3 linked regions of the Ovis aries genome follow. The protein of the gene in region 2 interacts with the protein of the main gene of each other region in a biochemical or structural test. Links are inferred from orthologs where the notes say so. Each region holds a gene or a part of one and is shown on either strand. Other genes may lie near its edges.

Region 1 (3,532 bases), on a different chromosome or scaffold from region 2:
GGCCAGGACTGAGTTCCCAGGTGAAGGGGCTGGCTCTCATCCTCACTTCTGTTCCTTGCCTGGGCAGGGCAGGATTCACAGGGGAAGGGACAGGGCTTAAACACTTAAGCTGGGACCGCCATCATTTTGACTCCTCTTCCTTCCCAGGATGGACTAGACTGGTGGTTCCAAGAGAGGGGATGGAGCAGTATCCGGACACCTCTTTATCCCAGGAAACCAGCTAGGACAGTCCCTAGGGGCCAGGGGCCAACCTCATCCCATCTCTTTCCCTCACCTGGGCAAGGGCGGGTCCCACGGGATAAGGTCAGGCTGTGATCTGCAGGAGACAGGCCCTGATGTCCCTACCTTCTCCATGCCTGAACAGCTGCACTGGCCTGTCCTGTGGGGAAGAGGTGGGGCCTCATCAAGTCTCCTTTTCCCCGGGGTACACCTGGACAGGGCAGTCTCATGGAAAGGTGGGGGAAAAGGTGGGGCCTCATCCTGACAGGTCCTCCCTTCCTGGGTGGGGAAGTCCCAGGGGAGGGGTGAGGCGTGATCAGGACTCCTCTTCCATGCTGAAGCTGCTGCGGCGACTGCTGGCCTTGGAGACTGCAGGGGATACTGAAGAAAGCAGGGGATCAGAGGCAGCCCGCAGTGGGGACAGGGTGCCCCCTGACAGTCCCCCCACCACCCCCTCCTCCTCCTCCATCAGAATGTCCTCCAGCCCCAGGTGGAAGGGGTCGCCCAGATCTCCCAGGTGGTCGCTGGGAAAGTGCAGGTCCAGAAGTGCATCCGAGGGTGGTGGTGGGGGCTGCTGATGGGGAGCACTTTGGGCAAGGCCCCCTGCTGCATGAAAAATTGCTGTGCCTGGCCTGCCTTCCTCTTCAACATCCAGCTGCTCTGGCTTGAGACTGTCAGAGGCTGAAGTTGCAGCCAGCGAGAGCAGCCCTGGGGTGGGAGGCACCGGCAGACCATGAATCTGGGCCTGCAGCTCCAGCTCCTGCAAAACATAAGTGGGGGGGGGTGGTAGGACAAGATGGGGTTCAGAGGTCCTTCAGAGGCAGAGGATTTAAGAGTTAAAAGAGTAGGCTGCCTAGGTTCAAATTCAGCCTCTGCCACTCACTAGTTGCATAACGTCAGGCAAGTTGCTTACCATCTGTCTCTGAGCCTCAGAGTCCCAATCCATAAAATGGATGTAATAATGGTCCCTGTCTCACAGGATTATTGTATTAACTTAGTAAATGGAGAGAAGGTTCTTGTCACAGTTCATGGCACAAGATAAACACCATGTCTGTTAGCCAGTATTCATTATTATTCTTGTTAATATTATGACTGATCTTCCCAGGTGGCACTAGTGGTAAGAACCCACCTGCTAATGCAGGAGACATAAGAGACAGGTTCAATCCTTGGGTGGGGAAGATCCCCTGGAGGAGGGCATGGCAACCCACTCCAGTATTCTTGCCTGGAGAGCTACAGTCCATGGAGTCACAGAGTCGGACATGACTGAAGCAACTCAGCACTAGCACAATGTTATGATCACTGCTTATGATCATCATAAGGAATGATGATCCCAGGAAGCCCAGGGATCCCCCAAATATGCCCAGAGGGGAAATCCTGGCTGGTTCTCCCTCTGCTTCTGCCTCAGGAAGCCCCTCACCCCCACCTCTGCTACTGCCTCTTCCTTCCAGACCTGGATTCGGAGCTGCAGGCTGCGGTTGGCTTGCTCCAGGGATCGCTGCCGGCTCTCCAGGTCTTTGGAGCGCTGTTGCTCCTTCTGCAACTTGCGGATGTAATCCACGGAGGCTTTTAGGATGGTGCCCTTGTTCCAGCGCATCTCCCTGTGGAGCCCAAGGGGGAGGAAAGAAGGGAATGCTGGGAAAGAAGGGAATGGAGTCTCTTGGGAGCTGAAGGGGGCACTGCACCAGGTAGATGGAGCACCCAGCCACATGCCTGGAACTTGAAGTGTGGGCCCATCATGGGTATGGAGTGCTCAGATGAAAACCACCTGCCTGGAACCCTCCAATGATGCCCTATCACACTCCAAACCCAGGAGACTCCCTGACCTGATCCCTTACCGCTCCTCTTATTGACCCCCCTCTGATTTATCTCACTGCAGCCACATTGGCTTCTCAATGCTCCTACAACATGGAATATCATTTCCACATCAGGGCCTCCAGCTCAGTTCTGCCCTCCACCTTGAGCTCTCTTTTTTTCTAGACACCCAGATGGCTCCAGCCTCAGCTACTCAGGCTCTTTATTCAAATGTTTCCTCATCAGTTGAGGCCTACCCTGTCCCTATCCTCTCCTCACCCTAAACTGTGACCTCCCCAACATCCCCCCTTCTTCCTTCCATTCTTCATTCCTCTCCACCACACTCATCATAACCACCAGATTTTACTTATTTATCTTGTTTGCTGTCTGTCTGCCCCCACTAAAACATCAGTTCCACGAGGTCGGAGACTTTTGTGTGTTTTGTGCCCTCTCGTATCCTCAGGGCCTAGCATGGTACCTGGCACAAAGCAGAAGCAACTGAATACACTTCTTGAGTAAATAAAAGAAGTACTAAATAAGCAGAAAACTCATGCGGGGGTTGGATGAGGTACAGGGACCATAATGTCATGCACCTAAATTTAGATTGGGACATGGTGAGGGGCTGCCACCCTGCTCAGAGTGAGGGAAGCTGGGTGAGAAAGAGGCACATGAGTAGGACTGCCTGGGTGGTTCCCATTTAGGGTGGGCCCACCCAGCAATGACTTTCAGGGAGTGGGGCCCCTGTCCCACCTTCCACTGGCCCTGGGGCTCCCGGCCCAGACTCACGGGTCACTGGACTTGGGGATGAGGGTGCCCAACTCCTTGATCCTGTCGTTAATGTTGAATCGCCTGCGACGTTCAACTTGGAAGGTGAGGGAAAGAAAGAGGAGTCATCAATAGGCCGAGGAGGGAAGGAGAAAAACTGGGGAGTTGAGAAGCTGCTGCAGGGAGAGCCCCACCCGCTCAAGGAAGGCTGGGCAGAGTGAAGCAGGGCTCCATGGCACGCAGCCAGGGGTACATGCTCCCACTCACTCAGGTTGTGATTGTCTTTCTTCTGCCGTTCCTTCAAAAGGGCCTTGGCCTCTGTCTCTGGAAGAGATGGGGCAGTGGTCAGGGCTTCTAGGCCTGGGAAAGGTGACAGACGACGGAGGGCAGCACACGTAGCCACTGGGGTAGGCTTTGGTGGGCGCAGGCAGGGGAAGTGACTACTTACAAAGTGCTACCCGTTTTACGATTTTTAAAGAAGCCATGGTGACAGGCTATTTGTTAAACCCAAGAGAAGAGGAAGTGGACTGAAAGCAGGACCACAGGCCATGCGGCCAAAGGTGGCAAACAGCCCCCATTACTGTTTAAACCCTCTTCCCCTAGAACCAGGCCCGACCTCCAGACCTGGTAGAAATGGGGCTTGCCCTGGGGTAAAGGATGATAGCACAGGGCCAAGACCCTGTTCCTTACCAGAGATCTCCCGTTTGATATTGGGCAGCTCAGCTGGACAGGAGTTGCTGACAGTAATGGCTGGTGT
Region 2 (4,218 bases):
GAGATGTGGGTTCGATCCCTGGGCTGGAAAGATCTCCTGGAGAAGGACATGGTTACTCACTCCAGTATTCTTGCTGGAGAATTCCATGGACAGAGGAGCCTGGCACTTTATATAGTTCATGGAGTTGAAAAGAGACAGGGCTTAGCAACTGATGCAAAGGAAATGCCATACCTATTAGCAATCATTCCTCACCCTCCCCTACCTAAACCTTTGGCAACCACTAATCCACTTTTTTTTTTTTTTTGGTGCTTTGCCTGTTCTGGATGTTTCATATAAACGGGGCTATATAGCAAGTGGCCTTCTGTGACTTTCACTTAGCGTGTTTTCCAGGTTCATCCATGTTGAAGCATGTACCAGTACTTCATTCTTATTGATGACTAGATAATATTACATTGTATATATTGATACATTCATCAGTTGATGGGAATTTGAGTTGTTTTGGCTATTAGGAATGATACTGCTGTGAACATTTATGTACATATTTTTGTGTGGGCATAGGTTTTTGGTAATTTTGGATGGAATTGCTGAGGGTATGATCCCTGGATTATATGGTAACTTTGTGTTTAACATTTTGAGGAATTGTCAGAGTCCTTTTCCAAGGTGGCTGTACCATTTTGCAATCCCATGTGCAGTGTATGAGGGTTCCATTTTCTCACGAATGCTTTTTGTCTGTTGTTTAGATTTATCCACCTGGTGAATGTTAAGTGGTATCTCTTTGTAGTTTTGATTTGCAGTTCAGTAATGATTAATGATTTTGAGTATCTTTCATGTCCTTATTGGCCATTCTTCTTTGGCAAAATGAGTATTAGAATCCTTTGCCCATTTAAAAATTATTCATCTTTTTATTGTTGTCGGTGATCTCTTATAACAAAGATGGCTATTGCTGATGGATAAACAGCATTTGGTGCCAGGTGATGGCGAATTTTTCATGTGTATTAGTGGTTGACTTTTAGCTTTAGTTACTTGTTAATCAAGAATATTTTAAAGTGCTGCTCTTCAGAAGTAATCCATTTTAAAGGTTCTGTTAAGATTTTACTTTAGGGTGGCTAGTACAGTCAACAAGACTTGATTGAACATGCCTCTATAATAATAAGGTCTAACTTTAATATTTTGGGAATGTCAAAAACGGCAACATTTTAATTAAATCATTTAAAACTCTAAGCACCACATTTAATTATGTGCATTGAGTCTTTGACTTAATTGAAGCAATTCCATCTTTTCCAAAGTAATTGAATCTGCTTTATGAAATGTGTTCTGATATCTGTCTCTCTCTGTTTTTTTTAGATTATCCTGAATACTACATGTCTAACAGTTTTTCTTGCAACGTTAACTGTTGTTTTTCGCTGCTTCCAAAAGATCAAAATTGCTCCAGAAATTGGAGACATATTTGATTTAAAAGAAATAACTTTAACAAATGGACAATATGTCTATTACGAATACACCAACAAGTAATGATGCCTGTCTGAGCATTGTACATAGTTTGATGTGCCATAGACAAGGTGGAGAGAGTGAAACATTTGCCAAAAGAGCAATTGAAAGTTTGGTTAAAAAGCTGAAGGAGAAAAAAGATGAATTGGATTCTTTAATAACAGCTATAACTACAAATGGAGCTCACCCTAGCAAGTGTGTTACCATACAGAGAACATTGGACGGAAGGCTTCAGGTTAGTCTTGTTCCAAGGTTTCTTCTGTACTTTGTAATGGCAGGTTTTTACAAATCCTTGTTTCCTCTTAAGTTACTATGGAAATTTCATGCTTGCTCCATCTCTTTAGATACTGTAGTACATCCTATAGTACAGATATTATCAATACAGGATCCTGTACTAATACACTATATGGAAATAAATGGAAGGATGTATCTTCTTTCAATAGAGGTATAGCTTAAAAGTTTTTAAAAATGTTTTGACTAAAAAAAATGTTCAGTATAGAAAATTTGGAAAATAAAAATCAGAAGAAAACCTACGTCTTTAGCCCTTTGGTATTCATCCTTGTAGCCTTTTTTTCTTTTTTGGTATTATATGTACAACTCAGCTTGCTTTCTTTCCTTTTTTTTTTTCTTATAATTTAGAAATTTGGTATTGTATGTCTGGTACTTTTATGTGAAAAACAATCCAGAAGAATTCAACAATATTTCTAAAACTTACGGAGTTAACTTAAATTTACAAGTCTTTACCTTTTGTTTCCAGGGATCAAATTTTTCATGTAGAATTACATAATCTCATGTGTTTGATATTTTTAAAGAAACATATAGAAAACATAATGTTAGGTTTAAAATTTTTTATTTCTAGATTTTAGGTATTGTTTCTTCATTAAACGCATACTTTTTTTGTGTATTTTTAAAACCTGAGCCTAAGCCTTGAAATCATACTTTAAGTTTACTACTTTGTGACCTTGTCCAATTAAGTTATTTTGCACTTTAGTTTTCTCGTTTAAGAAATAGGAATTTTAATACTGACTTTGTAGGATTGCAAGGATTAAATGAGAGTGTATCAAGTGCCTTGTATAATGTGTGATGCATAATTGATGCTCATTAAATGGTTATTTACTTTTCTTAGGTGGCTGGTCGGAAGGGATTTCCTCATGTGATCTATGCCCGTCTCTGGAGGTGGCCTGACCTTCACAAAAATGAACTAAAACATGTTAAATATTGTCAGTATGCATTTGACTTAAAATGTGATAGTGTCTGTGTGAATCCATATCACTATGAACGAGTTGTATCACCTGGAATTGGTAAGCAGGCTTCACTTCTATGCTTAGAAGCATAAAGGGGAAAGATATCAATAGTGTTTTAATTTTTCTAAGTTAGATTGTAAATTTGGAGATAGCCTAGGATTTCAACTAATTTTAAAACTCAGATATTTTTAATGAAATAACGTGTATTTAAATTTGAATTCTGAGAAAGCTTATATTTTGACTACTAAAACTAAGTGTACATACTTGATATTTTTCCTGTGTAGAACACTGTTATTGAAAAATAAGATGGAAAGCACTTTTGCATTGTTAGATAGCATTTATACTACTATTCTTGAATTGAAATGGTTCATGAAAATTTTGAATCTCTGGCTTAAATTTATATTCTGTAATTTTAAATATGGTGGAAATTATTTTCATTATAATGATTAATATTTTATTTTTTTTCCCCTTTAAAAATTTAAGATCTCTCAGGATTAACACTGCAGAGTAATGGTAGGTAATCCCTTTTCTTTTAACTTTCTCTCTTCTTTTATCCCATGCCCTTTATTTTTTATTGACTTAGAACTAGTCTGTATGGGTGGGTGCTGATAACATTTACAAGAAAAGTACTTACTGCTTTGAAAATGTACATTTTGCAGGGGTTGGGGGCATGCATCAGCATTTAAAACTGGATTTAGTAGGCTATTGACTCTTTGAATTTGAACTGCTATTTATGATTGCAAGTAGAATAAAAAATGTGATGGGGAACATAAAACATACACAGAAAGAGTAACTTTTGAATTGGTAAAAACTGGCTATTTTAGAAGTAAATCTCACAGAACCAGTTTCAGTAGTTATAAATAACCTGTTTGATAATTTAGAATCATGTGTAACATAGTTTAAAAACACCCAAATTCTCAGTTTTCTTTATTTCAGCCGAACTTATTTTTATGATTGATAATTTTGTGAATGACTTAAAACTGTATACTATATTAATTTTTTTTCAGTCTTGTTATATTTTGAGTAAATAAAACTAGGCTACTTTAAAGTATATGGTAATCACAGATGTTCTAGGCCTATTTTTAAAAGGAGAAAGTTTTGAGATAGGAAAATGAAACAAACAGGAGTGTGTTTTTTATTTTTCATGTAGTATTTGAGAACAGAGATCTGTTAAAACTTTAGCTCTGTTCCTTGGAACATGTTAATGAGCTAAAATTTCTGTAAGAACTAGTTACTTTGAACAGAAACTGATAAAAAGCCACTGTCACCTTAGAAGGCTTCCCTGATGGCTCAGATGGTAAAGAATCTGCCTGGAATGTGAGACCTGGGTTTGAACCCTGGGTCGGTCAGGAAGATCCTCTGGAGGAGGAAATGGCAAACCACTCCAGTGTTCTTGTCTGGAAAATGCCATGGACAGAGGAGCCTGGTGGGCTACAGTCTGGGGTCGCAAATAGTCAGACACCACTGAGAAACTAAACCAATACTATCACCTTAGAAAGGTGTGCCGTTGTTCTGAAGGGGAATTAGTGGTTCAGCAGCACTTTTG
Region 3 (4,318 bases), on a different chromosome or scaffold from region 2:
GAGTGTTGTCTCCTCCACTTGGTCCCCTCTTAAGACCCCTTCCTGGAGCCCTGCAAAGCCAGAAGGCAGAGGGGAGGGGGCCCCCTGGAGTCAGGCACTGCCCATCCAGGGGCCCTCAGGCTCTTGGCCCTCCTGAGAATGATGGCTTGGCTGAAGGAGCGGGAGGAATCGAGCGTTTGGCTGAAAACCCTCCCTGTCCAGCCTTCCAACCACCTTCTTTCAATTACAAGTCACCTGATTGTATGGGAGTCAAAGCCATGTAGAAGGAACAGACTCAGGTACAACAGAAAATTTTTGGTCCAGATGTTGTTTACTTGCGAAGTCATGTCTGACTCTGCGACCCCATGGACAGCAGCATGCCAGGCTTCCCTGTCCTCCTTCACCATCTCCGAGAGTTTGCTCAAACTCATGTCCATTGAATCGGTGCTGACATCCAACTGTCTCATCCTCTGTTGCTCCCTTCTCCTCCTGCTGTCAATCTTTCCCAGCATCAGGGTCTTTTCCAGTGAGTCAGTTCTTCACATCAGGTGGCCGAAGTATTGGATCTTCAGCTTCAGGTTCAGTCCTTCCAATGAATATTCAGGGTTGATTTCCTTTAGGACTGACTGGTTTGATTTCCTTGCAGTCCAAGGGACACTCAAGAATCTTCTCCAGCACCATGGAGTCTGCGAAAGCAAAGACATCTCTTTTCTTGTTTTGTATGGACCCCTTTCCTAGTTTTCCTGTGTTGGCAGCCATAGGAAAACCTGGTGTTCAGTGGACATGTGGGTAGGAGAGGGTTCACGCTCACGGTAGGGAGCTGTCAGTTCTTCAGATGTAGAGCAATGCACCCTGAACCACAAGGTCCCCCCATGAGATTCTGCAGCCATACAGATGTGGGGTCTCTGCCCATTCTTGCTGCCTCTCTGGACACTTGTCCATGCCTGCAGAGACACCCATTCAGCTCCCCGGGGCAGGAATGCTGGTTTGGGGCCAGTTTCCATCTCCAAAGGGGAGTCAGGAGCAGTAAGGTCCAAGCTGAAGGTCACACAGGCTGAAGTGGGTGGGCCCTCTCACCTCTGCCCAACACTGTGGGCCCCCCATGTGTCCTCCAGTGTCTGGGCCAGCTTGGGTGCCCCGGTCCTTTGGAAGAAAAGTCGCCACTGCCTAGCTGGGCTGGACTGTCCCTCTGCCCTTGAGTTAAGCACAACCAGAACTGTCTTCTAGATCTCAAGTCCCAAGCTCCCAGGACTCTGCTAGACACTGTTTCCTCTGGGGGCCACCCGGTCAGCCTGTCCAACCTCAGGCCCTTGTCTTGTCCCACCCAGCGCTTTCTGGTCTGTCTGTCCTTCGTGATAGAGCCAGGGTGCAGAAGGATGGACAGTGTGATCTCACACTGGCCCTGCCCTGGGTGCCCTGCAGATGTAAAATGGCTCTTTGAGCCTGGGAGCTGTTGGGTAAGGGTAGGGCCAGCGTGCTCGGGGCACGCAGGCAGGAGCCAGGTTCCTGAGAAGCCCCGGCCTCATGGTAACCTGGACGCAAGCCCTGCCCTGGAACTGGCGGTGGGCGCACAAAGTAGCTGTGTGGGGGACCATCGAGCAGGGTCGTGGGGTGGTCGGCCCTGCAGCCAGTCATCCTTTGGGGGTTGCTGTGTTGCGCCTGCATTGCTCGGGGGGACCCCCAGAACAGTCTGCACGGTGCCTGTCTCCCGTGTGGGGTCTCTGGGGTGTTGCCATCCTGTAGTAACCCACGTCGTCTGGCTCGGTGTCCTAGTCCTGCGTGGGACTTGGGTCATATTGCCTCGTCACGTGCGTGGGGACCCGGGGGGCTGGGCCGGGAGGCGTGCGGTAGAGGGTGCGCCGGCCCCATCCGTCCGCCCCTCAGCTGGTTTGCGGTTGTGGTGGGGGGGCCCTGTGTGGGTTTCTGGGCTCCGGCGGCGACACGGCGGCTGGACGGGCGCCTTCGCAGCCGCGCAGGAAACAGCCTCCACCGGATGGGGGGCCCGGGGCGCAGCCACCGCCCCCGCCGAGCGGCCTTCCGGCGAGCGGGCCCGAACGGAGCCGAACGGAGCTGAGTCCCGGACGGGCGGGGCCGAGAGTAGCCGAGCGAAGCCGAGTCGCGGGCGGGCAGGCCCGAGACCAGCCGAGCGGATCCGAGTCCCGGGCCGGAGGGCGGACCCGAATGCGGCCGAGTGAGGCGGAGCGCCGAGCGCGGGCGGGGGGAGCGCGCGTTCCTGGAAGAGCCTGGCCGGGGGGGCGGCGGGCGCATTCCTGGCTGGCGCTCGGCTGAGGCCGACGCGCGGCCCCAGACGACGCTCGGGGCGGGGCGGTGGCGCGGGGCGGGGCGGGACGCGGGGCGGGGCGGCGGCGTGAGCTCAGCGCCGGGCGCTCAGTCCGAGCTGGAGCGAGCCGCCGGGAGGATGTGCGCCGAGCCCCGCGCCGCCGCCGCCGCCGCGGTCTGAGGCCGCCCCACAGGCGCTCCGCCGCCCCGGAAGCCGCGTGCGCGGGCGGGCGGGCGGGTGGGCAGGCCGCGGAGCCGGGCGCGGGCGGCGGGGTGGGTGCGGGCCGGGCCGGGAGGCCGGCGGCGGGCGCAACGCGGCCGGCCAGCGCCGCCGGGACGAGCCGGGCGGGCGCCGCGCGGTGGGAGGAGCGGGGCGGCGGCGGCGCGCCGCGCGAGGACGGCCCGGCGGGCCCCGCGCCCGCGCCCCCGCTCCTCCCGGGCCCCTCGGCCTCGGCCGCCGCGGCGATTCGCGCCTCGCGGCGCCGGCACCTGCCCGCGCGCCCCCCGCGAGCCCCGGGCCCGCGAGCGTTGGCGTTGGCGTTGGCGGCGCGCGCTGGGGCATGCCCCGCGCCTAGGGCCCGGGGGGCGCGCGGGGGGCGCGCGGGGGGCCCGGGCGGCGGCGGGCGCGGCGCGGGGCGCGTGGATGTGGCGCCGGGCCCGGGCGGCGGCGGCGGGCTCCAGCGGCGGGACCCCTTCGCCCCGCCCGCCTTCCCCTTCGGGCCCCCGGGCGAGGCCGAGGCCGCGGCCGTGATCGGCCGGGAGCCGGCGGCGGGGGGCGGCCGGGGCCGGGGCCGGGGGCGCCGCCGGGGCGCGCGGGGCGGCGGCGGGGGCCGCGGGGGCCCGGGCACGCGGGAGCGGGAGCGGCCTGGGGAGCCGGAGCGCACCATGGAGGCGGCGGCGGGCGGCCGCGGCGGCTTCCAACCGCACCCGGGGCTGCAGAAGACGCTGGAGCAGTTCCACCTCAGCTCCATGAGCTCGCTGGGCGGCCCGGCCGCCTTCTCGGCGCGCTGGGCGCAGGAGGCCTACAAGAAGGAGAGCGCCAAGGAGGCGGGCGCGGCCGCGGTGCCGGCGCCGGTGCCCGCGGCCGCCGAACCCCCGCCGGTGCTGCACCTGCCCGCCATCCAGCCGCCGCCGCCCGTGCTACCCGGGCCCTTCTTCATGCCGTCCGACCGCTCCACGGAGCGCTGCGAGACCGTGCTGGAGGGCGAGACCATCTCGTGTTTCGTGGTGGGCGGCGAGAAGCGGCTGTGTCTGCCGCAGATCCTCAACTCCGTGCTGCGCGACTTCTCGCTGCAACAGATCAACTCGGTGTGCGACGAGCTTCACATCTACTGCTCGCGCTGCACGGCCGACCAGCTGGAGATCCTCAAAGTCATGGGCATCCTGCCCTTCTCGGCGCCCTCGTGCGGGCTCATCACCAAGACGGACGCCGAGCGCCTGTGCAACGCGCTGCTGTACGGCGGCGCCTACCCGCCGCCCTGCAAGAAGGAGCTGGCGGCCAGCCTGGCGCTGGGCCTGGAGCTCAGCGAGCGCAGTGTGCGTGTGTACCACGAGTGCTTCGGCAAGTGCAAGGGGCTGCTGGTGCCCGAGCTCTACAGCAGCCCAAGCGCCGCCTGCATCCAGTGCCTCGACTGCCGCCTCATGTACCCGCCGCACAAGTTCGTGGTGCACTCGCACAAGGCTCTGGAAAACCGGACCTGCCACTGGGGCTTCGACTCGGCCAACTGGCGGGCCTACATCCTGCTCAGTCAGGACTACACGGGCAAGGAGGAGCAGGCGCGTCTCGGCCGCTGTCTGGACGACGTCAAGGAGAAGTTTGATTATGGCAACAAGTACAAGCGGCGGGTGCCCCGGGTGAGTGTCCCGTGGCAGCCGTGCCTGGGGAGTGGGAGTGGGACCTGGAGAGGGCGGGGTGCCCTTCTGGGTCGGGGGGCTCAGCCTCCCCCACACGTTTCAGGGCTAGGTTTTGTTTTGTGGAAACTTGGGGGCGTTGTTGGTGTCCGCATAGACTGCTCCGTATCGGAGGAAGGTCCTTTGGTCTGACTCCTAGGACTAGCTC

Evidence for each region.
Region 1: the proteins of SMAD4 (region 2) and TFE3 form a complex in vitro, tested with the Homo sapiens proteins (2 studies listed by BioGRID). The link is inferred for Ovis aries from reciprocal best matches to the Homo sapiens genes SMAD4 and TFE3.
Region 3: the proteins of SMAD4 (region 2) and SKI form a complex in vitro, tested with the Homo sapiens proteins (3 studies listed by BioGRID and IntAct, with this or other methods). The link is inferred for Ovis aries from reciprocal best matches to the Homo sapiens genes SMAD4 and SKI.

The regions. Positions count from the first base shown.
Region 1 is NC_056080.1:56,077,977-56,081,508, reverse strand, and holds part of TFE3 (transcription factor E3), read right to left. Parts: coding exon 3,466-3,532; intron 3,100-3,465; coding exon 3,043-3,099; intron 2,873-3,042; coding exon 2,797-2,872; intron 1,818-2,796; coding exon 1,670-1,817; intron 980-1,669; coding exon 536-979; 3' UTR 1-535. UniProt on the Homo sapiens protein: Transcription factor that acts as a master regulator of lysosomal biogenesis and immune response.
Region 2 is NC_056076.1:50,866,498-50,870,715, forward strand, and holds the start of SMAD4 (mothers against decapentaplegic homolog 4), read left to right. Parts: upstream 1-1,414; coding exon 1,415-1,663; intron 1,664-2,554; coding exon 2,555-2,729; intron 2,730-3,155; coding exon 3,156-3,185; intron 3,186-4,218. UniProt on the Homo sapiens protein: In muscle physiology, plays a central role in the balance between atrophy and hypertrophy. When recruited by MSTN, promotes atrophy response via phosphorylated SMAD2/4.
Region 3 is NC_056065.1:49,878,241-49,882,558, reverse strand, and holds the start of SKI (ski oncogene), read left to right. Parts: upstream 1-1,503; coding exon 1,504-1,593; intron 1,594-1,863; coding exon 1,864-2,170; intron 2,171-2,287; coding exon 2,288-4,113; intron 4,114-4,318. UniProt on the Homo sapiens protein: May play a role in terminal differentiation of skeletal muscle cells but not in the determination of cells to the myogenic lineage. Functions as a repressor of TGF-beta signaling.